Regions from separate parts of the Mus musculus genome. Here regions 2, 3, 4, 5, 6 and 7 are each reported to be linked to region 1. The links are microRNA targets in miRTarBase. Many come from high-throughput screens and were not tested one by one. Region 1 holds a microRNA gene; each other region holds the end of a gene's coding sequence.

Region 1 (4,067 bases):
GCTATGAACCTTGCTAGTGCCAGGACATCTGCTATTCCGGCATCTGTGAACCTTGCTGACTCAAGAACACCAGCTGCTGCTGCAGCTATGAACTTAGCCAGCCCTAGAACAGCAGTGGCTCCTTCAGCTGTGAACCTTGCAGATCCTCGAACCCCTGCAGCTTCAGCTGTGAACCTAGCAGGAGCTAGAACACCAGCTGCATTAGCAGCTTTGAGTCTCACAGGCTCTGGGACACCTCCAACTGCTGCAAATTACCCCTCCAGTTCCAGAACACCCCAGGCTCCAACCCCCGCAAACCTGGTGGTGGGTCCTCGATCTGCGCATGGCACAGCTCCTGTGAATATTGCTGGCTCTAGAACCCCTGCAGGCTTGGCTCCCACAAATCTCTCCAGTTCCAGGATGGCTCCAGCATTGTCTGGTGCAAACCTCACCAGTCCCAGGGTGCCCCTTTCTGCTTATGATCGTGTTAGTGGCAGAACCTCACCTTTAATGCTTGATCGAGCCAGGTCCAGAACACCACCATCTGCCCCAAGCCAGTCTAGAATGACCTCTGAGCGTGAGCGGGCTCCTTCCCCTGCTTCAAGAATGGTTCAGGCTTCTTCGCAATCTCTTCTCCCTCCTGCACAGGATCGGCCTCGGTCCCCTGTGCCATCTGCTTTTTCAGACCAATCTCGTTCAGTTGTCCAGACCACTCCTGTAGCAGGGTCTCAGTCCCTTTCATCCGGGACAGTAGCGAAGTCCACATCCTCTGCTAGTGACCACAATGGCATGCTTTCTGGCCCTGCCCCTGGGATATCCCATGCTGAAGGTGGGGAGCCACCTGCCTCTACTGGGGCCCAGCAGCCTTCTACATTGGCTGCTCTGCAACCAGCTAAGGAACGTCGGAGCTCTTCCTCCTCTTCATCATCATCTAGCTCCTCCTCCTCTTCATCATCTTCATCGTCATCCTCCTCTTCCTCTGGCTCCAGTTCTAGTGATTCAGAGGGTTCCAGCCTTCCAGCTCAACCTGAGGTGGCACTGAAAAGGTGAGGCAATTAAGGGATCTAGGGAGCAGGGACTTAACAATGGGTGGGTGAGTAGGGAGGGAGAAATCTTGTCAAAAGCACTTGGCTTTGAGAAAGTATGGGGGACCTTGGCCTTCAAGCTGGGAGTAGAAAGAATGTTGGGCGGGGGCTTTGTGGGGAGGAATGGGACAGATAAAAGTCTCCAAAGGTTAATTCTCCAGAGGATAATGATAAGTTTTCCATCTCTACAGAGGACAGAACTAGAGGAAATGGACTTAATTTTACAGCAGGAGGGATGGCAGTTAGACCTCAAGAGGAACTCCCTGGGCTGGAAGGATCTTCAGAGGTCATCCCATCCCTCTCCCTGCCTCCAGGCAGGACGGCCCCTCCCCAGCCAACCTGCACTCACAGGGGCCTCCCCAAGCTGCGGCTCTCCAAGGAAGGAGATCACCCAGCTTCAGCTTCCACATCTGAGTCCAGGGGCCTTAATCCTTCATCAGGGACATTCTTGAGGTTTAACCTTGATCCCTTGTGCTTCGGGCCCCAGCCTGTTGCTTGTGTTAGCAGAGGTTTGGTCAGCTCTGTGCCACTGCTCCAGAGAAGTACTACTCACTGGCCTGCCTTCGTGTTTTCCCAGGGCTTTTCTCAGGCACCCCTCCCCCACTGCCGTTCCTCCAGGCCAAGGAAGGTAGGGTTGGGGTTGGGGCATCTTGTCTCCTTGTGACACCTTTCTTCTCTCACAGGGTTCCCAGCCCCACCCCAGTCCCAAAGGAGGCTATTAGAGAGGGACGTCCTCAGGAACCAACCCCGGCCAAAAGGAAGAGGCGCTCTAGCAGCTCCAGTTCCAGCTCCTCCTCCTCCTCCTCTTCCTCTTCTTCCTCTTCCTCCTCCTCCTCATCTTCCTCCTCCTCTTCTTCCTCTTCTTCCTCCTCTTCTTCCTCCTCTTCCTCCTCCCCCTCCCCTGCTAAGCCTGGCCCTCAGGCATTACCCAAACCTGCAAGCCCCAAGAAGCCACCCCCTGGCGAGAGGAGGTGAGTGCTTTCTTGCCTGTTGTGGAAGGGGGGTTGGGGTGAGTTCTCCAGAAAGGGGACCCTGGGTGAGGTTCCTGCTGGGGTGCCTCGTGTGGACGTCTGTGACTGGTTGTACGGGAGAAGGAGTGCCGGACTCCTCCCATCCTCCCACAGTGTTGTATTCTGGTCAAGGGCTGCACTATCTAACTGAGGTGTCCCAGGCCATATCTGGGAAGTCATAGGATTCTTCCTCCCTCTCCCCTCCCCTGACAAGCAGCCTGGTCTCAGAGATCTAGCTCTAAGTCTCCCCATTGCTGCTGCAGGGCTCTGGTCTGGCCACCGTCATCTTCTCCCGACTCTGTCCACAGCCTCCTCCCTGTCTCCCTGCCTCCACGCCATTCTCTTCCACACGTAGCCAGAGGGATCTTTCTAAAACGCACATCTGGTTACTTCCCTTCACTCCACAAATCCTTCCGGAACGCCCTGTGGCCTGCAGGATAAAGTGCCACCTCTGCGGGAATGGCGTGTGAGGCTCTTCACCAGCTGCCCTTGCCCGCCCTGTGCTCCTCCTGCCCGCCCCCACACATGCCCCGTGCTCCGGCCATACCCAGCGCCTTGCAGTCTAAGGAGAGCCCCATGCCTTTGGACATGCTGTTCCTTCTGCCTGGGATTTCCTTGTCTGCCTGGTGAACTCGTTCTGCAAGACTGCATTCAAACAGCACCTCCGAGAAGACTGCCCTGCCATTTCCCTGTCCTGCCCAGGTCCCCATCCTTTCTCTGGATCCCCAGGCCCATGCATATCCATCCTGCTGGGCTGTTTCCTATGTAGGGGGCGTGTGTGCCTTCATTGTTAACCTTTACTACCAAACAAAATTCTTCCAAGGGCAGGGACTCTTTTATCTTTGCATCCCCCGCTGCACCCTGTGCCCTGTCCACTGGGGTACTCGGTGGATGGTGTGCGGGCGGATGGGTGAGTGCGGACAAAGGTGGGTCTGAGGCTGGCCCTGTGTGGTGTGAGGTTTGGTGGTCAGGACCTGGGTGGGTGGTCCTGAATGCTTGGCTGGTGGGTTTGGGAGGATGTGGAGCTATAGAGGCCTACTCTGCTTCCTAGGTCTCGAAGTCCTCGGAAGCCAATAGACTCCCTTCGGGATTCCCGATCCCTCAGTTACTCACCCGTTGAGCGTCGACAGCCCTCGCCCCAACCTTCACCAAGGGATCTACAGAGGTAGGGCCTATAGCAGGTGCTAGCAACCTGACTCAACTAGCTACCATTAATTTGTAAGCAAAATTTAAAAGTTTTTGGTATTGTTCTGTGACCTAATTTCTCCTCTTGTAGCAGTGAGCGAGTTTCCTGGAGAGGCCAGCGAGGGGACAGTCACTCTCCTGGTCACAAGAGGAAGGAGACACCTAGTCCCCGTTCTAATCGTCACCGCTCCTCCAGGTGTGTCTCCTTGGAAGTCTGGCCCTTCTGAGAGCTAGTAGTTAGGGATAGGGATATGTGTGGTGACCCAGAATGACCAGTCTTCTCTATTCCAGGTCTCCATAATCTGGATTCCACTACACCTCATACTCTGGAGACATGAGTATTCCTCATTTTTCCCAGAAGAATCATGGAAGGAGTCTTTGTATGCCTTCCCTTGAACCTTGGCAGCATCTTGAGGGGAGAGCGTCCTCTCCCACCCACCCTTTTTTTTTTTTTTTTTTTTTTTGGTTCCTGTGAAATGTTGATCTCTGTGAGTTTTTCCTGGTTCTTGTGTTTTGGGGGTTGGAGTGGGAGGGAGGGAGTCTAGGGAGGGAGGGGCACAGCTCAGGACATCTAGGCCTCAGATTGTGATGATCCAGGGAGTTAGCTCCCTAAATTCTTGGGTGACTGATGGTTTAACTTGGTAAGTTGTAATCTTTCCTGAAAGAGGAAGGAGCTGAAGTTGGTTGGCCCTGCTGCACCCCCTTACAAGGTTGTGAGGCCCTCTCCCCCCCAACTTTGTTTAAGGCATTTTGGTTTTTTAAAATCTGTACAGTAAAAGCAACTTTTTCTGTCAAATAAAAATGAGAA
Region 2 (4,065 bases), not on the chromosome of region 1:
CTTTGGAACGTCTCAGATTTGTTTTTGTTGTTTCCTCTTTTTGTTCTGGAATTCATTTAATTCATTTTATGTTATCCTGCAGAGTTCACTACGCCGGCTACAATGTAACCCGGCCAGAAGGGGACTTGGGAAAATACATATCTATTCCTCATCACCATCGAGGGGAGGTACAGTTCCTAGGACGGTGAGTGTGATGTCATCTTGAGACTTCGGGGCTTCCAAATTAATTATGCTGTATGTTGTTGTTGTTGTTTTAAAGGAAGGAATTTTCTTTCATAATCAAAGGTCTCTGGCAAATGTTTTTGGGTTACAGTTATAGGGTGTGTGTCTGTGTGTGTATGTGGGGGGTGGTCTGTGTATCTTTGTGTCTGTGTGGCATGTGTGTATGTGTGTGTATATAGAGGAAGAGACAGATGTACACAATCATGCCTATGTTCATAACTAGTTAACTTCTTATTTTTAGAATGTTTCCCTTCTTAAAATATAATCTAACTTGTGACAGTATAAAATTCTCTCTCTTTAAGGTAACCTGTTTTTGACTAGTCTAATTTAAAATAATGGCTTAGAGAGTTTAAAGCATGCCTTTATTATAAGAATGCCTCAGAATATATTTTCCTCTTTTGAACACATTTCCCACTGTTTTCCCTTAGGTATAAATTACTTCGGTATTCCAAGGAGCGGCAGTACATCGATGGACTGAACAATTTATTATACACACCCAAAATACTGGTTGATAGGCTGTATACAAATATATCTGTAAACCTCATGCCAGAATTAGCTCCAATTGAAGACTATTAAAAGAAGTCATTCTCATGGTGGGGTAGACCACAGTGCTGGATCATGAACTTGGCTTGGAGTGCCCTCACCGTGGAAGTTAGAGATTGGGGTGTATCTCAGTGTCCCGGTCTGTAAAAAGAGCCAGCAATCCTTAATGTTTACAGCGCGGGCTCCATCCGTCACACTCTCCCACTCTCCCCCTGCTGGGAGCGTCCCCCCATGGCAAGCACTGTAGAGATAAGAACCCATTGCTTGGGACTGGAAGTGAAGAAAACTCCCTACACAGAGAAGATTTTTATACTGAAATCTATAATTTAATTCAAGAGAATGCTTTTATTTCCGTTCAAACATATTTTGTACATATGTGATGTAAATTAAATGTGTTCAAATTGTTGGAAAACAAGATGTCACAATTTTGCATGTAATTGGTTATGCCTTCATTGGACTTTTATAGACATTTTTTTATTTGCATGGGGAAAAATGTAAATTTATGTCGCCAAACAAAGGTTAAGCCTTGTGTCAAATGAAGGGACTGTCAGCGACAGACAAAGATAATATAGTAACCGTTCTGTACTATTGGTGTTCAGCTTTAGACCTTCAGCCTCATGGCAGGAGGCACGGTCCTCTGAGGGCTTCGAAGGAAGGAAGGACTCGCATAACTTTTCTTCCTGCCACGATTACCTGTTTTGTTTTGTCTATTTTTTCCCTTGCTTGCAGTCTCATCAGATCTTGCCAAGTCAACAGCCATATTGTTTATGCATACTGCATGAGTATTACCAAGAAAACCTTCCCAGTTGTAAAGTGACGTGCTGTACAGGACTTCTTCATGTTAAATGTCTCTATGTACCTCCGCGTGTCAGGGATCTTGTGCCTCAAAAAAACGTTCCCAAGGTTGTGTTTATACACGGTTGTGTTTATACACGGTATATATATTTTTTTCAATCTCATAATGAAAACATTATTATTCCCACCTTAGAAGAACCAAAAGAGGGTATCTTCTTTTAAAAACTTTTTTTTTTTGAAAGAATGACTTTATGGAAAATCCAGTAGTGCTTATACAGATGAATTATACTATTAGATGAGAGATTAGATGCTCTATTTTTATGAAGATAAATGCTTAGATTAAAACAAACTTCAACTTTAATTCTCAGACATACATGGTTCCCTTTCACATTAGCTCGTCACTCCTACTGCTTTTTTCACTTTTAAGAAATCTCTGGTGTTATCCAATTTTTTTTTCACTACAAGTATAATTTAATGCCTACCACCACCACCACCACCCCACCACCACCACCATGGTGCTGGGCAGTGAGCCGAGGGCCTATAGACTTACCTTACAGTCATTAATTGACTGTGTGGATATTGTGACTTCTGCTCACCCTCCACACACGGGTGAGGTTTTCAATGACCAGACAACAACAAAGCCCAAATAGTGTTCTTACTTTGAAAATGATTGATTATAAAAATTCTTGAAAAATAGCCTATATTCACATGTAAGATCTTATCTCCCATCTTTAAACAAATTTAGAACAACATCGTCTGTCAAGTAAACCCTAAGAGTGAGAATTCTGGATGTGAGAAAGTTTGCTCCCCTTGTCTAATGTTGAGAGCTTAGCTTTCAGTTGTCATTGTCTGTCATAGTTTTGGTAATGCTGATGACCACAAGTCAAACCCTACAGTGATAACTAAAATTCTTGCACCGGAGAAGACAGATGCCCTGTTGTGACAGCAATCTCTCCGTGTTTATTCTTAGAATTGCTTCTAAAATATTTACCTCCCAACCTTTTTAGCTACTCAAAAAAGAGTGAAAAAAAAATCTCAACTTCTGGAGATGAAGATTTTTGTATGTTCTCAGTTTATGTTCTGTCTCCTGTGGCTAATGAAGTGTTTAATTTGACCGAATGACAGCAGAATGTAATGTTAATGTTAAGGCGGGTGAGACAGGGCTCTTTGGCCCCTCCTTACAGTGCTGTGGGAAGCTGTGCCATGTGGAATTTTATTGGAGGACACACACTTCATAATGTGGCGGGCTGTCCACAGTGGGGTGCCTTTTGCATTGATACTTAGTTCACAGTTTTAGGAAAATTCAGAACTGGTCATCTGCCTTACTTTCTTAGGTTAAGTCTAGTATTAATATGGCTTCCGGAATTGGATGTAAGTAATTTTGCTATATCTTCGTGTTGCATCTGGAATGTCAGCTTGTGAGAACCACCTTTTCTAATTCAGACCTGGAATTCTTTTCAGTAATGAATAGTGACCTGGGTATGTTTCCATGGATGACAGTTTTGCCTAGTTACCATGACCACGTGACAATAAATCTCTTTCTTACATATTAGCACAAGCAGGCAGTCTGATAGAATCAAATCTATTTGGTGGCTTTGCACTGGGTGTCTGTCTCCCATCCGCTGACTGGCTAACTGTGGTATTTAAAGGCAGGTTTTGTTTTTTTGTTTTGTTTTTTCCTAAACAACTTAAATCAAGAAAGTTGAAACTTATCTGAAATTAGAAAGAACACCCTCTGGGAACTTATCTGTTAGATGTCTTAGTCTCAAATCTAGTGTGGTCCCAGCTGCTGGGAGGTCCTTGTGACATTGGGGAAATGATATGGTGCCTTTGAACTAAAGAAATCGTGGCTGATGGGGAGAAAGTTCCTACATTCATTGATTTCCCACATTCTATCTGATTTTCAATAAAGTTGTCATTTAATTATTTGCCAAAACTAGGGTTTTAATGAGGTGGCTTCCACAGCCCCCTTTTTATATTTATTTTCAGTTGTAGGCCCTTGAGATGGCTCAGGGTGTAAAGGTGCCTGCACCAAGCCTGACAACCTGCATTTGATCCCTGGGACCCACACTGTAGAAGTAGAGACCTCCCCTTACACAGTATTCTCAGACTTCCATATGTGTAAGCACACACATGTACACACACACACAGCAAATTAAAAAGTAAAAGTTAAATTTCTGTTTGTGTCTTATAGAAAGGTGTTCACTAAGAAAATATTCATGAAATTTAAGTACAAAATTATCTATTAAAAATTCCTATCGGTTAGTCGTGGTGGCACACACCTTTAATCCCAGCACTCGGGAGGCAGAGGCAGGCGGATCTCTGAGTTCGAGGCCAGCCTGGTCTACAGAGTTAGTTCCAGGACAGCCAAGGCTACACAGAGAAACCCTGTCTCAAAAACCAAAAAAAAAAAAAAAAAAAAAAAAAAGAAAAAAAAAGAAAACTAAAATTCCTATCCCAGCTCTCCAGATGCAGAGGCAGGTTCTCTGAGTTCAAGGCCAGCCT
Region 3 (4,067 bases), not on the chromosome of region 1:
GGGAGGGAGGGGAGAGGGAAGGAGGGGAGAGGGAGGGAGGGGAGAGGGAGAGAGGGGAGAGGGAGGGAGGGGAGAGGGAGAGAGGGGAGAGGGAAGGAGGGGAGAGGGAGAGAGGGGAGAGGGAAGGAGAGGGAGGGAGGGAGGGGCCCTTTGCCATCCTGCCTCTGCCAGCCTTTAAGGTGTCCTTACCCACCATGCCCCACAATATTCCTGAAATTCTAAACACAGCAAACCATCTACACCTTGGAATGGAGCAGAGCAGTGTGGAGGTCCACACGGTGACTGGTTGGACACAAACCCCTACACATGCATACTCAGGTGTGTGCACACATTTATGTAGATGCCCACCATTCACACTCGTGGGGTCTCCTGTTAAACCACTCAACACCCTGCTCCTCCAGACCACAAAGAGACCAACAAATCTGCTTTACAGATCCCTGGAGAGGCTAAGTCTGGTCATGCCACCATCCTCAAACCACTGAGGGCAACATGGAAAACAATGGCACATCCCCTAACTCTGGCTTCGCCTTGGGCTGGCCCCCATGGTATCTGAGCCCCAGGGGGCAGCAGAGAATGTGTATCAAAAGCCCAAAGCAGGTTCACATCCCTGGTCTGTGACTGACTTGCTCTACAGTCCCTGATAAACCATCTCCTCTAATTCTCCAGCCATAGGATAAATGGGTTTACCTAAGCTGACCGTGAAAGGCTCTCCAGACCCACAGTCATGCCAAGTGCAGAGAATGAGAAGGCTTTAATGTGAAGGAGGCCTGAGCACCATTGTGGCAAAATCCTCAAGCCATGGAAAGTATCAGCACATGATGACAAAGTAAGGATTTGGCCAGCAAAAACCTGAGTCGGGAGAAACGGCAGCTGAGAGCCAAAGGAGGGCCGTGTCTCTAATAATCCATAATTAGTAAGACACATGTGCATATAGCCATTCATTCATTTATTTATTTTATTTTTCAGTGCTGGGAACTCAACCCAGGGCTTCACACATGCTAGAATAGTATCATTGACCACATTCCCAGACCTCTTGTTGTTGTTGTTGTTGTTGCTGCTGCTGCTGCTGCTGCTGCTGCTGCTGCTGCTGCTGCTGTTCTTGGTGAGACAGGGGTTCTCTCTGGGTAGCACTGGATGTCCTGGAACTCACTCTGTAGATTGGGCTGGCCTCAAACACTCAAGAGATCCGCCTGCCTCTGCCTCCCAAGTGCTGGTATTAAAAGCGTGCACCACCACTGCCCGACCCTTTTTAAAGGTCTTTAAAATGGGATCTCTCTTAGTTGCCTAGGCTGGCTTTCACTCTGTAGCTCAGGCTAGCCATGAGCTCTCAATACTCTGAGAGTCCTCTCGTGTACCTGGGATTATAGGCCTGTGCACCAGGCCTGGCTCCATACTTGATATTGATGGAGAGAAAAAAACAAAAAAAACAGTCCTATTGAGCTCTAACTGTGAGGAATTTGTTTATTTCTATCATCTAGAATGACCAGATAAATAGGTGAGCAAATATAGAAGGTTATGCCCACAAACTGTTTGCTATAATGGGGCCCAATTCAGACCCTGGCCCCCAGACTCTGAGAGCATAGGTACAGGAAAGTGACCAAGGCAGACACGGGGAGCCTCCAACAAAAAGACTCTACCTATATGTGAAGCCCTCAGCAGGCAATGGTGACAGTGGTCCCCACGAGCAAACCTACTCTGAAAAGCACCCATGGGTACACTGTGGATGCATTCTGACACCAGTGTCCACTGCTCACGTGTTTACCTCACAGAGACACCAAGGATGCGGCTGAAAAGCTCTTCTCCTGAAGCTCTGGCCTGCAACTCAGTGTCCAATGGGAATACGTTCCCAAGGTCAAGAACACGGGGACAGAGCCACTCCTAGAGGATACCAGAACCCCAGCGTAAAGACAAAATCCCCAGAGTCTCTGATCCTGTGCACAAGGACAGAAGGAAAGAAATGGTACAAACCACTCCACTTCCCTAAGCCTGTCTGGTCCTCAGAGCCAGCTCACCTTGCTTACCTCCTTCTCAGTCTTAGGAACACACACAGGAGCCAGGTCTGCAAGCCATGGCCCAACTTCTAGCTAGACTGTCCAGAGCCCAGTGGAGATGGGAGGCCCTTCCCAGGACACATCAGCTCTGACCTAGAGCCCCTCACACCCTCACGATGGAAGAAGGGCCCACAGGGGCCGCCCCAGGCCTCACTGTTCTCTATGGCTTTTTATTCCTATGTGATTCTATTGCTCGCTCATATAGGGATTGGAGCCGTGGCGTACGGTGAGGATAAGCCAACAGAGGGCTCTGATGTGGAACAAGAGGGCTCGAGGTAAACCAGGCCAGTGGCTGCAGGCCAAGCCAAGTGACTCACCTCTGCCAGCTATGACAGGATGGGGTGAGGGACTGCTGAGGTCCTTCACTGCTCTGACCTACCATTCTAGTGCTGAGACACACACTGAAATGCTGGCACCAGGGTCCCAACTGGGTACCCGGAGGAGCGACAATGGAACATGGAATGTTTAGCCTGGGAAAAGTGGGCACAGGAGAACAAGTGCAATGCCTGCGGCCTGAAGAAACCCCTTGATAGCCAGAGGGTGAGGGGGAAAGCTGAGAGTGGTCCAAATACAGAAGGAAGAGCCGTGGTGACAAGTGGATCGTCTCCACCCAGTCAGGCAACAGCAGGAGAGGAGAAACCATGATCAGGTTTCTACCACAGGGAGTCAGGGTTAAGTAGGCAACTATAAGCCTGTCCTGTTAACCCACATTGACACTGCTAGGAGACAGATTCAATTGTCACAGATTGCCATCAGCAGACCCTGAGTGTGCACCCAGCCAAAAAGGGTATGAGAAACTCTTCAAGGTACTGGCACCACTGCTGGGGCCACACCACGGGTCCCTGCCCAGCAGCTCCCCGAGGATCTGTGCTATGGAAAGAGGTGCTGAGGGGAGATGAGCTGAGACCCCCACACACAACATTCTCTTTATTTTCAGTGCCCTACCTTCGCTCCATGGAAGAGACAGGCTGAGGACCTGGGCAGGAAGGCATCCAGGGAGAAAATGAGAACTGTGACTGGCCAAGAAGCTCCTGCTGGGCCTCAGGGCTACCTGCTGTCATGACAGAAACTAGGGGTAGAAAGAAGCCCCCATCTTCTAATCTAGTTGGGGGAACAAGCATAGAGTAGATCCGAGGGAGGCGGGCAGAGCAACGGAGGAAAAGTCCTGCGGCACAGTGGGGCCTGGGAATCGGCCCTTGACCTTCCTAAGAGGCCCTGCCCTTGAAGGCCTCTTCTACACTCTCACACGGTGAGCGACACCATCACTGAGGATGAAGAATCAGGAGGTGGACATCCATAACATTGGTCCCTGTCAACCCTGTGTGCAGCAAATGTGTTCCTCCCCGGAAGCGGCAAAAGAAAGTGTATGAGTCGTTATTGGCGAGGGAGGTGGCGATGTCCAGGCTCTCAGCAGAAGCCTGGCTGATGAGATCAGACATGACCCAGGCCCCGGCCACCTTTGTAGGCCCATCCTGCCCATCAGTGCCTCCACTCAAAAATAGCACATCAATAGGTCCCAGTGGCTGCCTTCCCAGCTCCACTCCCACGTGCAAGGCCAGTTCTTGGTTCCGACCGCCCTTGCCAGATCCCTGCAGCTGCACCGTGGGCTCACCACCAGCCAGGAGGCAGACCGGCCCTTTAGCCTTTACCACCGCTTCCAGAGCCTCCTCCAGCTGCAGGTCCGGGAGCTGGAGCTCAGCTGCCAGCTGATGGAGTTCCGCCTCCTCCTCCAAGGGACGCTCAGCCAAGGATGGAGTGAGGTGGGCTGCAGCCACCCGGGCTAGCAGCCCGTAGAACCGAGCCACTCTTTTTACATCACCCTGCATGGCTGTGCTCAACACCATGGCATGGTAGCCCAGCACCTCGGCTTGCCTCTGAGCCTCAGCCAGCGCCAGAGAGTTAGAGCCGATGATCACATTGAGGACGTGGCCACAGGTGTGTGGTCCATGGGGGTCAGAGTCAGCTCGGGAGAGCACAGTCTTCACAGAGCGGGGAAGAGCAGCACGGAGGCCATAG
Region 4 (4,067 bases), not on the chromosome of region 1:
CATCATCCTGGTATGACAGGATGACCAGAGACATTCCATTTACAACCCCCCACCCCCGCCCCAAGGTCTCAAAGCTGGTAATACTCAAAACTGGAAATCAAACAAGAAGTTTAGATTCAGGACTGGGGACACAATGCATACGTATGCCTAGCATGACTCTCAGCCCCACAAAGATCAATTGATGACTCTCTTGATTGATTAACCTTGCTGTATCATATAGTCTCTCTATTGGAGCAGGACCGTGCTGACACAACGATGGAGCCAGTCAGTGTTGATTAGTCTCCCCAAAGAATACAGTTTGTCTTCCTAGGCCCAGATGATAAGTTCTTATGGAACTGGGTCTGCCAGCAGGGGAAATGAATAGAAGATGAGAATGGGTGTTGCCAACACACTGGCCTGGACTCTCCATCCCATTCTGCTTCTGCACATCCCCACCTTCTACTAAGAGACAAAGAGCAGTGAATTTCGTTTGTCCAATAATCTTGAAAGCATTATTTGAAGAGAAATATAATGTTTAATTTTAGGCATGGAAAGATCAAATAAATTATATAATACCAAAGGATGGAATTTGTTCCACCACGGAAAAAGCAGCACAGGGTAGAACAATTATAGCATATTCAAGTGCTAAACAACTTTCAAGCAGATATATTGTTTGAAGATACTTTATTAAAATAAAAAACTTTCCATTACATTTATCTATAAATCCATCATAGGCCACAGGGAAATAAATGAAAATCTGAATCTTCAGGGACATTTTTGATTCCATAGTTTTGTAAATCTGAGTTTACATGTTTGCTCACTTTAAATTACTACAGTTTAGGTACACTTGATGATTATATAGTACCAGGAATGTCAGCCTTATAGATGCCAAGTTTCCACATTACTCAGTAAAGCCATGGTTATTGTTTCAAGTTTATCTCTTTACTTTTAGGCCATTCTACCTGGGAGATAGAGGAGAAAAAAAGCACCTCATACCAGGTTCAACTTTAAATGGATAAACAATGAAACCCTGCTTTTCTAATAGTGGCTGGCACTGCACCCCAGAAACAAGCTGCTGAAAGCTAGGAGCAAAGTATTTTTCTCCTTGGTGGTGGGAGTGCTGAGGTCAGAGAGCACAGCAAGGCCAAATGCTGTTGGTATCTTGGCCTGGCTTTTATGTTTAAATTAAATCTCTTTATAAGCATCAAGAAATAGAACAGGTAAGGCTACATGCCACCTGATTTCTTAAACTGCTTTATTTCTGTTTATTTATTTTTTAAAGAAAGATGCTCAGCTGTGGTCTAACAGGTGCAGACATTTATATTTTCATGACATTCCATCACCTTCACTACCTACCCCAAATTTCCCAAGCACTAACCCAAAATAAAAACTGAAGAGAGCAGTCACCAGATGAAGAAAAACAATCAGCAAAGATACCTGAGGTATGAACATGGGATACCTAAACTATTTCAGAATGTCCTATGCTGGACACACTTCTCACCATTCTTGGTCTAGAAAGTTCCTTTAGAGAAGTGTACACATCGAGCAAGGGACAGGACATTCCATCCAAACCAACTTTTTAAGACTTGTGCTTCTAGACAGTCCACACAAAGCAGTGATATCAGAGTAGAAATTCAGTAGCCTTTCTCTCTGTGTTTGAGCTGCATGGCTTTAATTAATAAGCACAGAACTTCCATGAACTGTGTTCATTAGTCCAATCATCTGACTGTTGGGCTTGAACATGTAATGAGGTCACTAGAAAAGTTTTTGTTTCTGCTTCACACAGAAATTTGACATTGTCTTAAGGAAAGCTAGCCACGGACACCACCAAACAGCAGTGAACATGTAATATGTGTGTGGACCTATCTGCCAAAAGGTCCAATATTTACATGGAATGTTGATCTTGCTTATAAAACTATATATATATATATATATATATTTGTTTATTTGTTTTTGTTTTTGTTTTTTTCGAGACAGGGTTTCTCTGTGTAGCTCTGGCTGTCCTGGAACTCATTCTGTAGACCAGGCTGGCCTCGAACTCAGAAATCCACCTGTCTCTGCCTCCCAAGTGCTGGGATTAAAGGCGTGTGCCACCACGCCCGGCCCATAAAACTATTTTAAATTATATCTTTACATACAATTTATCTTATGAATAGCCTCATTTGATAATTTAAAAACATGCCTTTCAAATATCTCACAAATATATAAAATTTCCCTACATTTTATTTTTTCTTTAAACATAATATTTAAACTCTTTACAAAGCAACAAGAATAATTTTTTGTATGCAAGTCATAGATGTGATGAATCTTCCATTGACTAATCTGTACTGCTCAGAGTACTGGCAGGAACCTGCTCTAAGATTGAACTATGGATATTTGTAGTATTGCAAATCATTCACTTGCTAGAGACCTAAGGCATTATAGAAAAAGGAACAATGTCATTGAAACATTTAAAAACCCACCTTCCTTTGGAATAGGTTGAAATGCAATCTGGCTGGTGTTAATCATTTTGTTGACAAAAATTTAACACAATATAAGGTTTCTAAAACACACTTTAGGACAATTTACATGTGTGGTGATTGCACACCAGAAACATGAGCACCTCTTCCTTCACTGTGCTCTAACACGTGTTACATGTTTTTGAATACTTATCTCATTGTTATAATTTGTTGAGAAATTCCAAAGCAAGAGAAGAAAACTTTCTGACTCCAGAAATGTCTTCTGAAGAATGATAGATTAAAGCAAGTGGTGCTGTGTAATCATTTCTTGCCCTAAGACAGAGCCATTTTTACTAAACCATGAGGAAAAGTTTGTATCTACATCTGTAGTATCAGTTAAGTCGTTTTTAAGCCTGATGCAGCGGCATGTTCCCGTACTCAGGAGGCTGAGGCAAACAAAGGCTGAGTTCAAGGCTAGTGTTGACAACATAGTGAGACTCTCATCTTAAACAGGAGAATTAGATTTTTCTTATATAATATTGGTGGCATCACTAATATGTACTCATAAGGATTTCCTAAGCTATAATATGTGAGTTACTTCCTCAAGAAAAGATTTGAGTTTCTTCTTTGTTTTAAAGATGTGCACATGAAGAACATATTTTTTAAAGGAGAGTCTTATTTCCAGCTCAGTTAAATCTGTGGATTTGCTCAAGGCTGCCAAGCCCATGCTTTCAACTGTAAGCATGCCCAGTGAAGGGCTGTGAGCACACCTGAGCCCAAGTGAGGCATGAACTTTGATACCTACTGCCTCTCACAAAGAAACAGATTAAAGAAAACCAGTAAATACAAGTTTTGCTAAGACTATAGCATTGTGCAGATTTTGACTTAGATTGTACACTTATGTGCTTCAAATAAGGCTGTGAAAGACATAAACAAACCAGCACTGAAATTTTGACTTTGACATTGAAGACTTTACATCTGTGACAGTGATACTAATTATTAAAAAAAAAATCCTACCAAAACCATGGTAGTTGATCTAACCATGCAACTCTGTAAAAAGACAATTAAGGACATTTCTCTGAGTTATGAATGTAACCAACTCACTGGGACCCAATGGGTATCAGTCTCTAGTTTGTCAAATGTTGTTTTTAGCTCATTAAATGCCACAGTAAGATCATCATTGATTATGATTTTGTCAAAAAGATGGCCATATTGACTTTCCATTATCTGTGCTGATTTAATCATTTCCTGAAAGTCTTCTTCCTATTAAAAACAAGTAATAACAAATTAAGTAACCAGACAACTGCATTATTTCACATAAATGTAAACATTCTACAATGACTACCTAAAGCTGTTATGTGTTCAAACTTTAAACAAAATAAAGAAACAAAATCACCTTCACTACCTTTTTAGAGGTTTTTACTGCTAACATCAGCTTTAGCTGAACTCCCTTCAGGGTCATAACTAACTCACGATTGCATGGACACATTGCTGTTGTCATGGATAGCAGGGGTGCTGTTTACTCTGATGCTCTGGCTTGGCTATTTATGTTTGGTCACAAGAAATAAAGTATAACACAAACTACTTCCTTAGTGTTGGAAGCATTACAGGAAAATAATTCAAATGCCCCTCCTGTGGTCCAGTAGAAGT
Region 5 (4,067 bases), not on the chromosome of region 1:
AGGTTTATACTAATCTCAGAATAAGGACTTTGCTTTCTTAAAAATGTTTTCTCATTTTTTTCCTCCTATGGAAATTATCAGAGTAAACCAATTTACAGAGTAAACTGGGGAGATAAACGAAAATAATGCCATTTCTTTCTTTTACATTTTTTTCATGTGTATGAGTGTTTGTCTGCATGTCTGTAAGTACATCATATGCGTGCCTGGTAGTTGAGGAGGCCACACAAGGTCACTGGACTCCCTGGAACTAGATTTACAGTTGGTTGTGAACTGCTTTGTAGGAATTGGGGACCCAGCCCTGTTGCTCCGTAACATCTGCAAGTTACATCTGCTCTTAAGTGATGGGCGTCGTCTCTCCAGACACATGTGCTAGTCATTCTGAATGTGACACCTAACCTAACAGATCTGGCTGATTCGCCCTTTTCAAAACTTGTGATATAGCTATTTACAAATCATTCTTACATTTTAGGCACTTTCACTTTTCTAATTCCCAGTCATAATTTGTAAAGTCAGTAACATGCATAGATAAGACTAGTTATAATCAGGTAAGATGTCCAAGCCCGGTCTAGACGCAAAGCTTGTTTTATAGAGACCTTCATTGCATGGTAGAAACAGTCTTTTAAAGTGTTCGAGGTGTAGGCCAGGACCCATGAATGCCTTTAAAACTGAACCGATGCTGTGCCCCTCGAGTGACTGCTCGTTCTCTTGTCTTTCCAGTGCTGTACATAAGTACACAGAAGAGGCGGATGTGAAGACACCAGGAGGCAGTGCTCTTCAGAGATGGATAGATGAAGTGGTTTTGGTTCTCTTACCATCTTAGTTGGCCTGTTTTCATGGTGGCTGGTGGGGGTTTGTTTGTTTGTTTGTTTAATTGACATTGGAATAAGATAGAGGTATTGCATTACAGATCGACTCTTAAGTTTTTCACATTTATGTCTCAGTCTTTATCATTTCTGCCTGTACAGAATGCTAAAACTAAAACAGTTTGTTTCTCCAGGATTATTTTACCTAAGATTCCTGCCCTGTCATTCCATTGGTTGATTACGTATTCAGCTGACTAAGTGGTACATCCCGGAACCTGTGATCAAGCATTCTGGAGGCATCCTTTGTCTCTTTCTCTACTCACCATCCGTACCATTTAAAGCAGGTAGATAGAAAGTCATATGGTTTCAGCCTTGGGCTATAAAGGGACAAGAGGTCAGAAAATCAGCTGTTTATTTAGTCACCTAGTTAGTGGTGGTATCTCCACAAAGGAGTGCAACTGTAGAGTCAGGAATTGGAAAGGTCAGCCACGTGAGGTGAGACACTGCCTGGAAGCCTCCTGTGCAGTTAGACTCTTCATGTTAACTTGCTCCCTGTTGAGAGTGTTGGTGCAATGGCTGGTTACGCCAGCCAGGGGAGGAGCTCTACTGTTCCTGAGAAACTGGCTGTGGCTGAGGTGGTGCAAGCCCAGAGTGCTTAGACTCAGTTTCCAGGCACTGAGCTTCGGCTGCGAAAGTTTCTCCTGCTTTTTGCTTTAGCAAGTGGCCTTGGGGAAAGGGTTGTATTCTTGGCCTTCAGGTCACGTGACTCCCGCTGAGCGGGCTTGTGCTGTCTGTGGACTGTGTGTGGGTGCTTTGGTTGCATGGACGCTAGGGCTTTCCTTACCCTCCTTCAATCTAAACAGATCCCTGTCTCGGGAGGTCGGACAGTTTTAGAGCAATTGCCCGGCTGGAGGAAGTGGAGGCAGATGGACAGCTAAGGAGGGAGGGTGTGCTTTCTGGAGAGGTGTATATATGGCATTTGTCTAATTTAAATAGTAATCAGAAACAATTAATAACTCAGGAAAGAGAGGAGTAAGGTTTGATGGTGTGCACACTGAAAATAAAACACTTTATCCTAAGCTTCAGTAATTCATCACTTCCTGACAGGGGCTTGCAAAGGCACCAGTGTGTAAGTACAAATCACCAATTTGCTCTTTTATAAATGGCTTCTTTAAAGGAGAAAATGGATGTCTCTCGGAGTGGAGCACACATGTTCTCATTTGTTTTTTAGAGTGTGTGAGGCCGCCAGGTTACTGCATCCCTTCATTCATCCCCTCAGCTGCCCTGAAAGCAGCCCTGCTGTTATCTCCAGCAGTCTGTAACATCCCGGCTCTGCTCATTTCTTCCCTGACCTCCCCTCCAGCCTGCAGGTCTTTATTTCCCTCTTGCCATTTCTAGCTTAATAGCGCTACTGCAGAATATTGTTTTCATCCATGGAACCGCTTTTAATCAAGATGGACTTTGGGAAATGCTACCATTTTTATGGTAATAACCATATTATGCATCTGGACCAGCACATGTTGTCCCCTGTGCATACCTTCTTGTGATAGAATTCTGAAACAAATTGTAAATGGTAAAATTACTTTTTTTTTAACTGTAGTCTCCTCGTGGTCTGTGAATGGTTTTCAGTTGGATGGTAGCAAAGACAATTGTTGTAGGGTGAAAATTTTTCACTTGAGTAAATACATTTTCCGTGTCCCTATGCCCCCAACCACAGTTGCCACCATCTTTCTCTTGGGCCGTGACAAAACAGAATGTCTAGCAGGAAACAGAACTTGTGCTTGCTTTCCAGACTATCTGCCTTCATATTTTGTTTTGGTCTGTGAGCTATTCCTTGGCTAATCTTGCAGACTGAATCAATTCTTACTTCAAAAGTGTTTATCCCAAACAGAGCTGTAGACGAGTACAAATACAGATGGCGGCCATGTGGTCTGAACCATGTTCCCCCTCAGCCTGCAGACAGGGTTCACATCTTGAGCATCATGTTTGAGGCCATATGTAATGCATGCGAGGAGTTCCTAATGATGTGACAGATAGTAACAAATGCTTAAGGGATTTCCTCAAGGTTGGAAACAGCAGCATCGACTTAAGTGTGAGCCGCATCACCCTGGAGGCTACAGTCAGCTTCATTAGAAACAAGCACTGTGGGAAAACTGTCTTTGATATTCACAGTGCCTCTTGGATGACAGCATTCCAGGCCAAGGAGCCAGTCTGTCCCTCAGTGCAGATTAGCATACATGCCCGTCTTTACAGTGACTTTTGGTTTAAGAGAAAATGGTGTATTGGCTTGTTCCTCTTGTGGGAAGATCTCAACCTTGGAGTTCTCATAGCCAATCTATGCTTGTCACGTTTTATTTGTTTTTCCTGCCCCAAAACAAATTATTGGTGAAAGAAGCCAACTGCAGTTTTTCCCTCACGACCTTCAAGCGGCTGTGCTCCACAGCAGCTACCTGTTCTAATCAGCTGGCTTCTGAGAGTACACGGCTAGGTGTGCTCTGATCTGAATAATGTCCAGCAGGGGGTTTTATCCCAGGAGCTGCTGCCGTGTCTACTGTAGTTGGCCAAGCAGTTATGAGTGTTTCCATTGATCAACCATTTGTGATTCCACAAAGTCTTGCCTAAAGGACAGGGTGGACAGTATGCACCTCTTATGTAATAGGGCAAGAGACAGCCTCAAGTGATGCTTGCTTATTGTCTTAGTTGTTACTGCTGTGAACAGACACCACGACCAAGGCAACTCTTATAAGGACCACATTTAACTGGGGCCGGCTTACAGGTTCAGAGATTCAGTTCATTATCATCAAGGCAGGAACATGGCAGCATCCAGGCAGGCATGGTGCAGGAGGAGCTGAGAGATCTACATCTTCATCTGCAGGCCACTAGGAGAAGACTGGCTTCCAGGCAGCTAGGACAAGCTAAAGCCCACGCCTCAGCGACACATGTCCAAAGAAGTGCCACTCTCTGGGCCAAAATTCAAGCCACCACACTTACTTTCTTGAAAAGTTAGAGGAGCTAACTAGGGAGGGGAGTTGGAAGAAATGATGTTGATGATCAGCGCCCACTGAATGGCAGCTGTGGACAGGATCTATGTGGTACCCTAAATGAATAAGTGAGATACTACCCCCTGTGCACGATAGGAAGTCACTTGCAAGTCTGGCTATTTATAGGAGAAAGTACCTGACACTGTCTTTTTAGATGGGACAGGATTTTAAAATAGTTCATAAATGCATTTGATGTCTCAGCTATGTTCATACCTTAAAATTT
Region 6 (4,065 bases), not on the chromosome of region 1:
TCTTATGACTAAGAAGTTACCATTTCCTGCATTTAAAGAAAATGGAATTTTAGCCGGGTGTGGTGGCGCACGCCTTTAATCTCAGCACTCGGGAGGCAGAGGCAGGCAGATTTCTGAGTTCCAGGCCAGCCTGGTCTACACAGTGAGTTCCAGGACAGCCAGGGCTATACAGAGAAACCCTGTCTCAAAAACCAAAAAAAAAAAAGAAAGAAGAAAATGGAATTTTAATCTGTTTTTGGAAGATAATTTTAAAATTATATTATCAAACTTGCTTTCCATCTATCCTCTTTTTTTTTCTCCAGCGATTAGATCACCTTAAGGTAATCACCAGGTAATTTCTTTTTCTTTCCCCGTCACTCCAGCTCACAGAAACCATGACTGAGAGTTTGGGGATCTGTTTTTTGACAGTGATTGGTCCTACTTTACCCAGTGTCTGAGTTAAACACTGACAGACCAGAAGTTAAAAGCATGCTTCTGCTGCTCTAGTCAGTGCCATTCATTGCATCACTTTTTGACTGATGTCTTACATTTTGTTGAAAAGATTCCAAGAAACCAATCCTTATCCTTTTTCCCCTCCTCTAGCTTGTATATAGTGGATACAGCAAAGAAACTCTGAGGCAGAGAGAACTTCAACTGAGTGTACTCAGTGCAGAATCACTGCGGGAGAATTTCTTCTTGGGTGGAATAACCCTGCCACTGAAAGATTTCAACTTGAGCAAAGAGACAGTTAAGTGGTATCAGCTGACTGCGGCAACGTATCTATAAACTTCCGACTTCTGAGCTTTGGAAACAAGGAGTTATAAATGTGTGCGCATGCGCACATACACACACTTGGGAACTTTGTATAATTTCATACTTTGGCAGAAATTATAAACTTAACATGTTGGACCAACTGTCAGTCATATGACTAACTTTTATAGAAGCCATTGCTATTTCAAAGTTATTTTGTTGAGTGCTACCAATCCCAAACTTAATATATACTAAGTCCTGAAAAAGACTTTGACATAATACTGTGTCATTTTGGTCACCTTGTCTGTACTCTTCCTACACAGACACAGCAAATTGTTTTTTGTTATGCACCTCACAGCCTTTACCACTGTGTATGTTCACAGACACCAAAGGAAAGATGCAGCTGCTACTCAACAGGCTGAAACGCAAAGCACAAATAGTAGTCAGAATGCTGAGAACTACTAAGTCGTTTATAGAATAGAAAAAAATACGATTTTTATTCATTGTTAAAGCCTTTTCAGAGTAAGTGCCAATGACTGAAGTTGTAAATAACAGTGCCTTACTTAACTACATGCTTCACTGGCACTCTACTTCTGATTAAAGAGCAAGTAGTTTTCATGCATTTTCACCTTACTGAGGACAGCAAGTCATGCACATTTACTAATGGTTTCTCCACAGAAATACTATTTCCTCTACTTCTGGTTGTTTTCACTATTAAGCTATTTAACTTAATGTTTATTGCCCCGTAATTGAATGAGATTGATATTCAAAATTAGTATTCTAAATTCTATCATTCCATTATCATTTGTAAGGGTGTGAACTGAAATTGGAGTTTCACTTCCATGTATTTATACTTTACTCCCTCATTAAACAAATGGAAATTGTTCAGCCTTATTCCCTATTTTGTTTGGTAACGTGCTCAGGCAGGATAAGGAGTTTAATTTAGACATTTATGGAAGGTGTTGTGTAAACTGTCCTGTATTTGGAAACATTGTACATTCACATGAAAGAATTATTTTCTGTAATATACTGAAATGAAAATTGCAAGAGAGAAGTGTGAAGTTACTGTGGAGTAGCCATTAAGAATAAGATTCATTTTTAAAGCCAGGCATGGTAGCACACGCCTTTAATCCCGGCACTTGGGAGGCAGAGGCAGGCGGATTTCTGAGTTCGAGGCCAGCCTGGTCTACAGAGTGAGTTCCAGGACAGCCAAGGCTACACAGAGAAACCCTGTCTCAAAAAATAAAAAAAGATTCATTTTTATTCCCCATTTCAGACATAATTTTGTTTAGTTTTGATAAACATGTATATATAATAAATTTCTTGGTTAGAAGTTCAAATATTTTTAGAAAGGTAATAGAGATGTAGCAAATTTGGTAGTTAAGAGAAAACTGACAAACTACTTAATGAAGGGTACCAAGAAAGGACAATCGGATTCAGTTCGCTAGAATAAAATTTTTATGAACTGTACAAAGTGATTGACAGAAATGATGATGCTTACAGAGTTAAATTAAGAGTTAAGAGTGTTATCATTGGAATACATTTTTTAAAAAAAATCAAAACTTGAAATATTTGGTGCCTAACACTATGGTCCATTTGTAGGGAAACCTGTATGAGTATGTGAATTTTTTATATTAAACTGTGTTGTCTACTTGATAATTGAAATGAAGATCTAAGCACCGTTGTTTGCTTTTTCCACAATTAACATTTCCTTAAATAGTTTTGCAGATGTAAGTAGCACTAGAATATTTTTTTTCTTTTGAGAGAAACCTAATTCCATTCCATGGGTCACCCAGACTTAAAAAAATGCTGTTTGTAAAAGGTCGTCATTGACTGGACTCGTGGACCTTTTTGTGATCTGTTACCGTGTATCTTAGCAGAAACAGAATTAAAAATGTAATGTCACTTCAGTGACAAGAAATCTGATTAATATCTAAAAGTATATATTATAAGTAATACTGTATAGTTAACAAGAATTCAAAAGGTGATACTGTCTCTTAATTTTACTCAATTTGTGCCTTCTTTGGTCATTAGAATACATATATTTTAATGTAAGTTATTTCTTTGTAAAATGCTAATCTTCAGCCCATACCAAAAAAACAGTGATAGGGAGGAAGAACGTAGCCTCTGTGCACTGCGGCTGCAGTCACCATAGTCAGCTGGCTTCTAGAGCTTCTTAACAGTCACCTTAAAATACATCGGAAAACGAGAACGCTAGACAGGCCAAGACACTAATGTTTATGTATATCATATTTATAACTACCTTCAAGTAAAAATAAGTCTGCTACATACAAGTCCTGTGCCAGAATTCTTTGTTCTTGCCAGTGCTCTAGGATCTGAAGATGATCGCTCATCCCAAGAACCTGTTTTCTCTGAGGAATCCAATGAGACTGGCACCAATGCTTTATATTACTGTGTTTATGGGAATGAGTTGTTAAAGCATGTGTATCTTTTTTAAGTACTTTTTTTTCAAATTAAAGTTGTATATAAAGTTCAAAATCTTGCCTTAAATTGTTTAATTCTTTCTAAGACTCATGAATTGTAACATTTAAAAAAATTCACTTTTGATAACTCAGATTTAAACAAACACTGAAGACCTGCTATTATGATACACATTTACTTACACGCTGTTCACCAGCAATGCAAACATACATGTGATTACTAGTGTCGCCTGTAAGAAGAAAATGCTTTAATTATATCAGCATAGTGAGTTAAGATGTATAATATTTTTATTAATACTTGGAATATATTCATTGAATTAAATGTGACTTCATAACTATACTACAATTAAAATATTTCTGAAATAAAGGAACTTGGCTGTCATTTCCTTCCTTCTTGATTCAGTATTTTGGTTTTAAACTTTAATAATTATTGCATCTTACCCAGGAGTTTGTAAAATTTATCCTGAATTTGAATGTGATTCTTTGAAGGTCTAGATAATCTGCTACAGCCTATCATTTCCTGAGATGTGAATTCTGTAGGCATGGTTCTTGGTCTGTGAAAGTTCACTTAGCCACATTCGGAAGTGCAAATTAACACCATACCTTTATTCTGGATTATGAGCACAAGACTGGCTCTCTAACCATTCTAATAATTTGGAAAAAAAAAAACCAGTATAAAGACCTTGAAAGGACAATTAAGGGGCTGTTGAGATGGCTAAGCGGCTAAGGGCACTAGCTACTCTTCCAGAGGTCTTGAATTCAATTCCCAGCAACCACATGGTGGCTCACAACCATCTACTAGAGGATCTGATGACTTCTTCCAGTGGGCAGATTTATATGCAGCAGAGCATTCATACATTAAATAAAAAGCCTCTGGCTCCCAAAATCTTCAGAG
Region 7 (4,067 bases), not on the chromosome of region 1:
CAGACAAGTACCACTTCTGCTCCTCACCAACTTAAGAACTGAAATGTGTCTCCCTCTGAGAGCAGTAACTCACTTGACTCTTCTGAGAACACCTCGCTGGCATTTCCACTATAAGGAGACCACTTATTAACAGAGATGTGTGCTCTCGGGGGAAGCATGTTAATTTACTTAATACATTTTTTAAAAGTAAAGATAAAACTCGTGTGTGTGTGTGTGTATGCTCTGCACATGTATGAAGGTTGGATGAAGCGTGAGGAAGCTGGCTTTCTCTTCCCACCATTTAGGTCCCACAGATTGGCAGGCTTGGCAGCAAGCACCTTTACCAAGTGAGCCATCTCAAGCGCTCTTACTCGCTTTTACAATAATATGCATGCTAGTCTAAAAAAGGCCTAATGTTTCTGAAGAGAAATTAAAGGCTATTATAAGTTTCTTAGGCAAAAAATTTTGAAAGAACCATAGATGGTGTAATTAAAAGCGAATCTCAGAGCAATAATTCTAATCAGTATGTTCTCCACTACCATTCGATGGAACAACAGCTCTTAGGACACATGGAGTACAGCTATTTCTTTCTGTCTCTCTTCTTCTAAGACAGAGTTTCATCTAGGCAGAAGGCTGGCTGTGAAATTTGCTATGTAGCTGAGGGAAACTATGCACCTCTAACCCTCCCGTCTTCACATCCCCAGCACTAAGGCCGCAGGTATGTGCCACCGTGCCCAGTTTATGTGGTGGTGAGGATGCAATCAAGGGCTCATTGAATCTTAGGCGAGAGCTCTACCAACTGAACCATTCTAAGCCCTCAGCTATTTCATTAAAATAAAACAACAGTCTTTGGGAGCTGGAGAGATGGCTTAGCAGTCAAGAGACTGACTGCTCTTCCAGAGGTCCTGCGTTCCATTCCCAGCAACCACCTGATGGCTCACAACCATCTGTAATGAGATCCAATGCCCTCTTCTGGTGTGTTTGAAGACAACTACAGTATACTCAGATAAATAAAGTAAATTAAAAATTAAAAGAAAAAACACAATAGTCTTTGTTAAATAACTTTGATGTCAACTATTTTTCATTGATTAAGTGATTAGTTTGAATTTCTCATAGATTAGGGAAAAATTTTTCACTTGAAATATGAGTTATCTATTTGATAAGTAGTATTATTCTTTATTACTTAAGAAAAGAGAGGAGTATTCTTTCTGGAGATAGCTAGCTCAATACTAAGAGGACATTTTCAAATCAAGGAAATCGAAGGACTCCAAAAGACTGTCATTTTGTCTTGAGACAGTCTCTCTATGTAGCTCTGGCTGTCCTTGAACTCGGAAAGATAAACCAGCCTCTGCCTCCCAAGCGCTGGGATTAAAGCCATGCACGACCACACACAGCCTAATAGATCACCTTAATACTGAAGTCCTGCTAATGGTCAAGTTCCCATCCTTAAGTGCAAATTATGACATCCGTTAGTGATTCCTTTGGCAAAAAAGTTCCAGCCGAGTATTAAAAAAGTTTTCTTAATTCTTGTTTTAGATAACAAAACCAAAATAAACTTTAAAATTATATACTCACTTTGCTAATACTTTTGTTGTTGTTGTTGTTGTTGTTTTGGCCATCAAGAGCTTTAAATTATAGAAGACAAAATGAAAGCTACGGCCACTTGGGTGACCATAGACAAGTCATGGGCAGAAGTGAAGTGGAAGGTGGTCAGTCAAGAGCTACTTCTGTGAAATCAGGGATCTACTGTGTTCTATTCTGTCCACTTGGTATCAGAGGGAAACTCAGAGCATGCTCCAGACAAGAAGAAAAAGGAAGAGAGAAAAAAATAAAACAAATAACTTCAATGACTAGGTCACTGATTTAAAAGAAACTTATAAGCCAGTGAGCACTGCCATATAAATTAGTCAGACATTTTATTATAGAGTATATATATATTTATATCAAAAGCACAAAAAGACTTTTATTCTGGGAACTAGGAAGAGTGTGACATTACAGAAGTATGATTCAACAATTCCAGTCCATTTCCACAGGGTTAGGTGCCCCATCGGCTGAAAAGGACAGCTGAGGCGGAGGCCACAGCTCTGAGCCCCCATGGCCCCTTAGCATGATTTCTTAACTCAAACTGAGACCTGCATTTCCAAACCCTGGGTACCCACTTTCCAAATATTTGCTACAAATTGAAGTGGGTACTGAGCCAAAAATCACACTCAAAAATAACCAAAGCTAGCGCTCCTGTATGCTGGAAGATTAATCCTCAAATAATAAGGATATCATAATTGGCACTGTCATCTAATTCTAAATAAAAGAATCATCAAACATCCTGGTGGATCTGCAATGAATTACACAGGAAGCAGTAAAACTCAGAGGCATCCTCTAGTAACTGAGCTAGAAGCGAGTAGCAGATAGTGAGACCCGTCACCGCCTTTGAAGGGGCTGTTAGCAATCCTTAGGCATGGCTGGCAGCTCAGCTCCCACTTCTCAAGGCTTCACCACATGGAACACAGTGGCTGTGATTTAACAAGGACCTTACTCTTCCTGTTTGTTCTTACAGGCCGTTACTATTCTTTTAAAACTTACTCCCTGAGAGGTCCCGGACTATGTCAAGTAGATTAGAGTAAGCTTGCATTTTATCTTCTTGGAAAAACAGAAAACTATCATTTTCTACACTCACTGCCTGCTTAATATTTAAACAGTCATCAGGACAAAGTCAACTTCTGAACAGTTTTGAGACTACTTTAGGGATAAATGTAATGTTTTTAATATCAAATTTATACTAGCCAAGGAGTTAACTGGTGGTGCCGAAAATACAAACGTAAATGTCTTAAAATAGCAATTTGTGCCACCCAGCTTACTAATTAGTAAAGTAGGTCACCACTGCGGATTTATTGCTTTTAATGTGATGAATACCAGATTTGACAGCTGAACTTTGCAGTGGGACACAGCATACTTTTATCTTGAATTCCTTCCTCGAAGTAGGACATGTATATCCATGTAAGAAAAAGACCGTGTAGCAGACATCTCCTCAGTCAACCAGTCTTGTAAACATTGTGTTGTGCAGATTTTCATACTTTGATTCCAAAAATAAGAATAGTTAAAGGCAAATTTAGTAACTGAGGGGTGGGGGAGAGTCTGTCCAGTTTGACTTCCTGCCACATATGGTTACCACTCCTCCCTTCAGAAACAAAACAACAACAACAAAAACCCTAGCAGCACATAAAAAAAGTTGCAAAACATTTCAGTACTCTTTCCCTCCCATAAAACCAAACAAAAATAAAGTGCAGCACCCATAAAAGTGTCAAGAAAATAGCCAGGCTCTTCCTTTCTCGTAACAAACTAGTCCTTGGGCTCAGCAGTCTAGCTGAGTCACACAGTGTCCATCATTCGGTCATCATCTTCTTTGTGTACCACTGAGTCTACACTGCACAGAGGGGCAGGGGTACAACACTGAAGAGAATCTGGATTCTGGGGGAGAGAGAAAGAAAGACAGACGGGGAACAACACTTGAAAAGCAGCTTCACACCACACATGCAACTGTGCACACGGCTTCACCTTCTATTCCTCTGCAGCAGAGCATACTAGGAAAGAAAGTGGAATTGTGGAGTCCACACAGACCGAAACCTGAAGAACTAAAGATAGAATGTTATTCTTTATCCAGACCGAGTGCATATACAGGAACAGAAATGTTACAGATACCCCTCTTATCTCTTTTAACAAAACTATAATTTTAATTCTTTAACCATACAAGGTTAAACTTCCTCATAAGCATTACATTTAATAAGCATGCCTTTAGGAGGCTGGAGAGATGACACAGCAGTACGGAAGACCATGTTTAGTTCCCAGCATAGACATAGCAGCTCACAACCATCTGAAAGTCAAGTCCCAGGGGATCTGAGAGCTGCATGTGGCCTCCGTGGGCACTGTATGCACATGACACACAGATACAGAGTGAGGCAAAACACTCAAGACACATAAAACTTAAAAACTACATTTGTTAAAGTACAGGTTTTAGCCAGCAATGTATTCTTAAGATTATCATCTAATTACAAGAGTTAAGAACTATAAATGTAAAACATTTAGATGAAGGC

Evidence for each region. The annotated mature microRNA mmu-miR-5125 reads UCUGCCUGGGAUUUCCUUGU and lies in region 1 at 2,674-2,693, shown strand. An mRNA with a match to its seed (bases 2 to 7 or 8) in the 3' UTR can be bound and repressed. Matches are read on the target gene's strand: a 7mer-m8 pairs with bases 2 to 8, a 7mer-A1 pairs with bases 2 to 7 and ends in A, and an 8mer does both.
Region 2: miRTarBase lists B4galt6 as a target of mmu-miR-5125. Seed matches in the 3' UTR shown: 7mer-m8 at 3,120-3,126 and 7mer-A1 at 3,863-3,869.
Region 3: the mRNA of Glyctk is a reported target of mmu-miR-5125. Seed matches in the 3' UTR shown: 7mer-A1 at 1,196-1,202.
Region 4: miRTarBase lists Mpp7 as a target of mmu-miR-5125. Seed matches in the 3' UTR shown: 7mer-A1 at 2,036-2,042.
Region 5: the mRNA of Lsm6 is a reported target of mmu-miR-5125. Seed matches in the 3' UTR shown: 7mer-A1 at 1,724-1,730, 7mer-m8 at 3,628-3,634 and 7mer-m8 at 3,702-3,708.
Region 6: the mRNA of Pik3c2a is a reported target of mmu-miR-5125. Seed matches in the 3' UTR shown: 7mer-m8 at 1,650-1,656 and 7mer-A1 at 1,874-1,880.
Region 7: miRTarBase lists Cdc37l1 as a target of mmu-miR-5125. Seed matches in the 3' UTR shown: 7mer-m8 at 2,653-2,659 and 7mer-A1 at 1,327-1,333.

Annotation. Positions count from the first base shown.
Region 1 is chr17:23,820,666-23,824,732 of GRCm38, forward strand. Mir5125 (microRNA 5125) reads left to right here and starts at 2,626; the gene lies at 2,626-2,704. It overlaps Srrm2 (serine/arginine repetitive matrix 2), which reads left to right. Exons shown (of 15, transcript NM_001368687.1): 11 at 1-1,025; 12 at 1,748-2,035; 13 at 3,126-3,239; 14 at 3,351-3,455; 15 at 3,551-4,067. The coding sequence ends at 3,560.
Region 2 is chr18:20,685,054-20,689,118 of GRCm38, reverse strand. It overlaps B4galt6 (UDP-Gal:betaGlcNAc beta 1,4-galactosyltransferase, polypeptide 6), which reads left to right. Exons shown (of 9, transcript NM_019737.2): 8 at 83-184; 9 at 651-4,065. The coding sequence ends at 798. Among named protein-coding and RNA genes, the nearest start is that of Gm16090, 22 kb to the right of the region's middle.
Region 3 is chr9:106,151,928-106,155,994 of GRCm38, forward strand. Glyctk (glycerate kinase) reads right to left here. Exons shown (of 4, transcript NM_174846.4): 4 at 933-4,067. The coding sequence ends at 3,314. D030055H07Rik (a long non-coding RNA gene) reads left to right here. Exons shown (of 7, transcript XR_003948237.1): 3 at 229-826; 4 at 967-1,102. Mir135a-1 (microRNA 135a-1) reads left to right here and starts at 2,197; the gene lies at 2,197-2,286.
Region 4 is chr18:7,347,465-7,351,531 of GRCm38, forward strand. It overlaps Mpp7 (membrane protein, palmitoylated 7 (MAGUK p55 subfamily member 7)), which reads right to left. Exons shown (of 17, transcript NM_001081287.2): 17 at 498-3,680. The coding sequence ends at 3,501. Among named protein-coding and RNA genes, the nearest start is that of Gm34979, 2.8 kb to the left of the region's middle.
Region 5 is chr8:78,804,896-78,808,962 of GRCm38, reverse strand. It overlaps Lsm6 (LSM6 homolog, U6 small nuclear RNA and mRNA degradation associated), which reads left to right. Exons shown (of 5, transcript NM_001191004.1): 5 at 718-4,067. The coding sequence ends at 752. Among named protein-coding and RNA genes, the nearest start is that of Lsm6, 14 kb to the left of the region's middle.
Region 6 is chr7:116,336,741-116,340,805 of GRCm38, reverse strand. It overlaps Pik3c2a (phosphatidylinositol-4-phosphate 3-kinase catalytic subunit type 2 alpha), which reads left to right. Exons shown (of 33, transcript NM_011083.2): 33 at 583-3,530. The coding sequence ends at 765. The region is part of intron 1 of Gm10589 (a long non-coding RNA gene); the gene reads right to left. Among named protein-coding and RNA genes, the nearest start is that of Rps13, 4.6 kb to the right of the region's middle.
Region 7 is chr19:29,015,383-29,019,449 of GRCm38, reverse strand. It overlaps Cdc37l1 (cell division cycle 37-like 1), which reads right to left. Exons shown (of 7, transcript NM_025950.4): 7 at 1-3,444. The coding sequence ends at 3,346. It also overlaps a transcript of Ak3 not described here. Among named protein-coding and RNA genes, the nearest start is that of Cdc37l1, 27 kb to the right of the region's middle.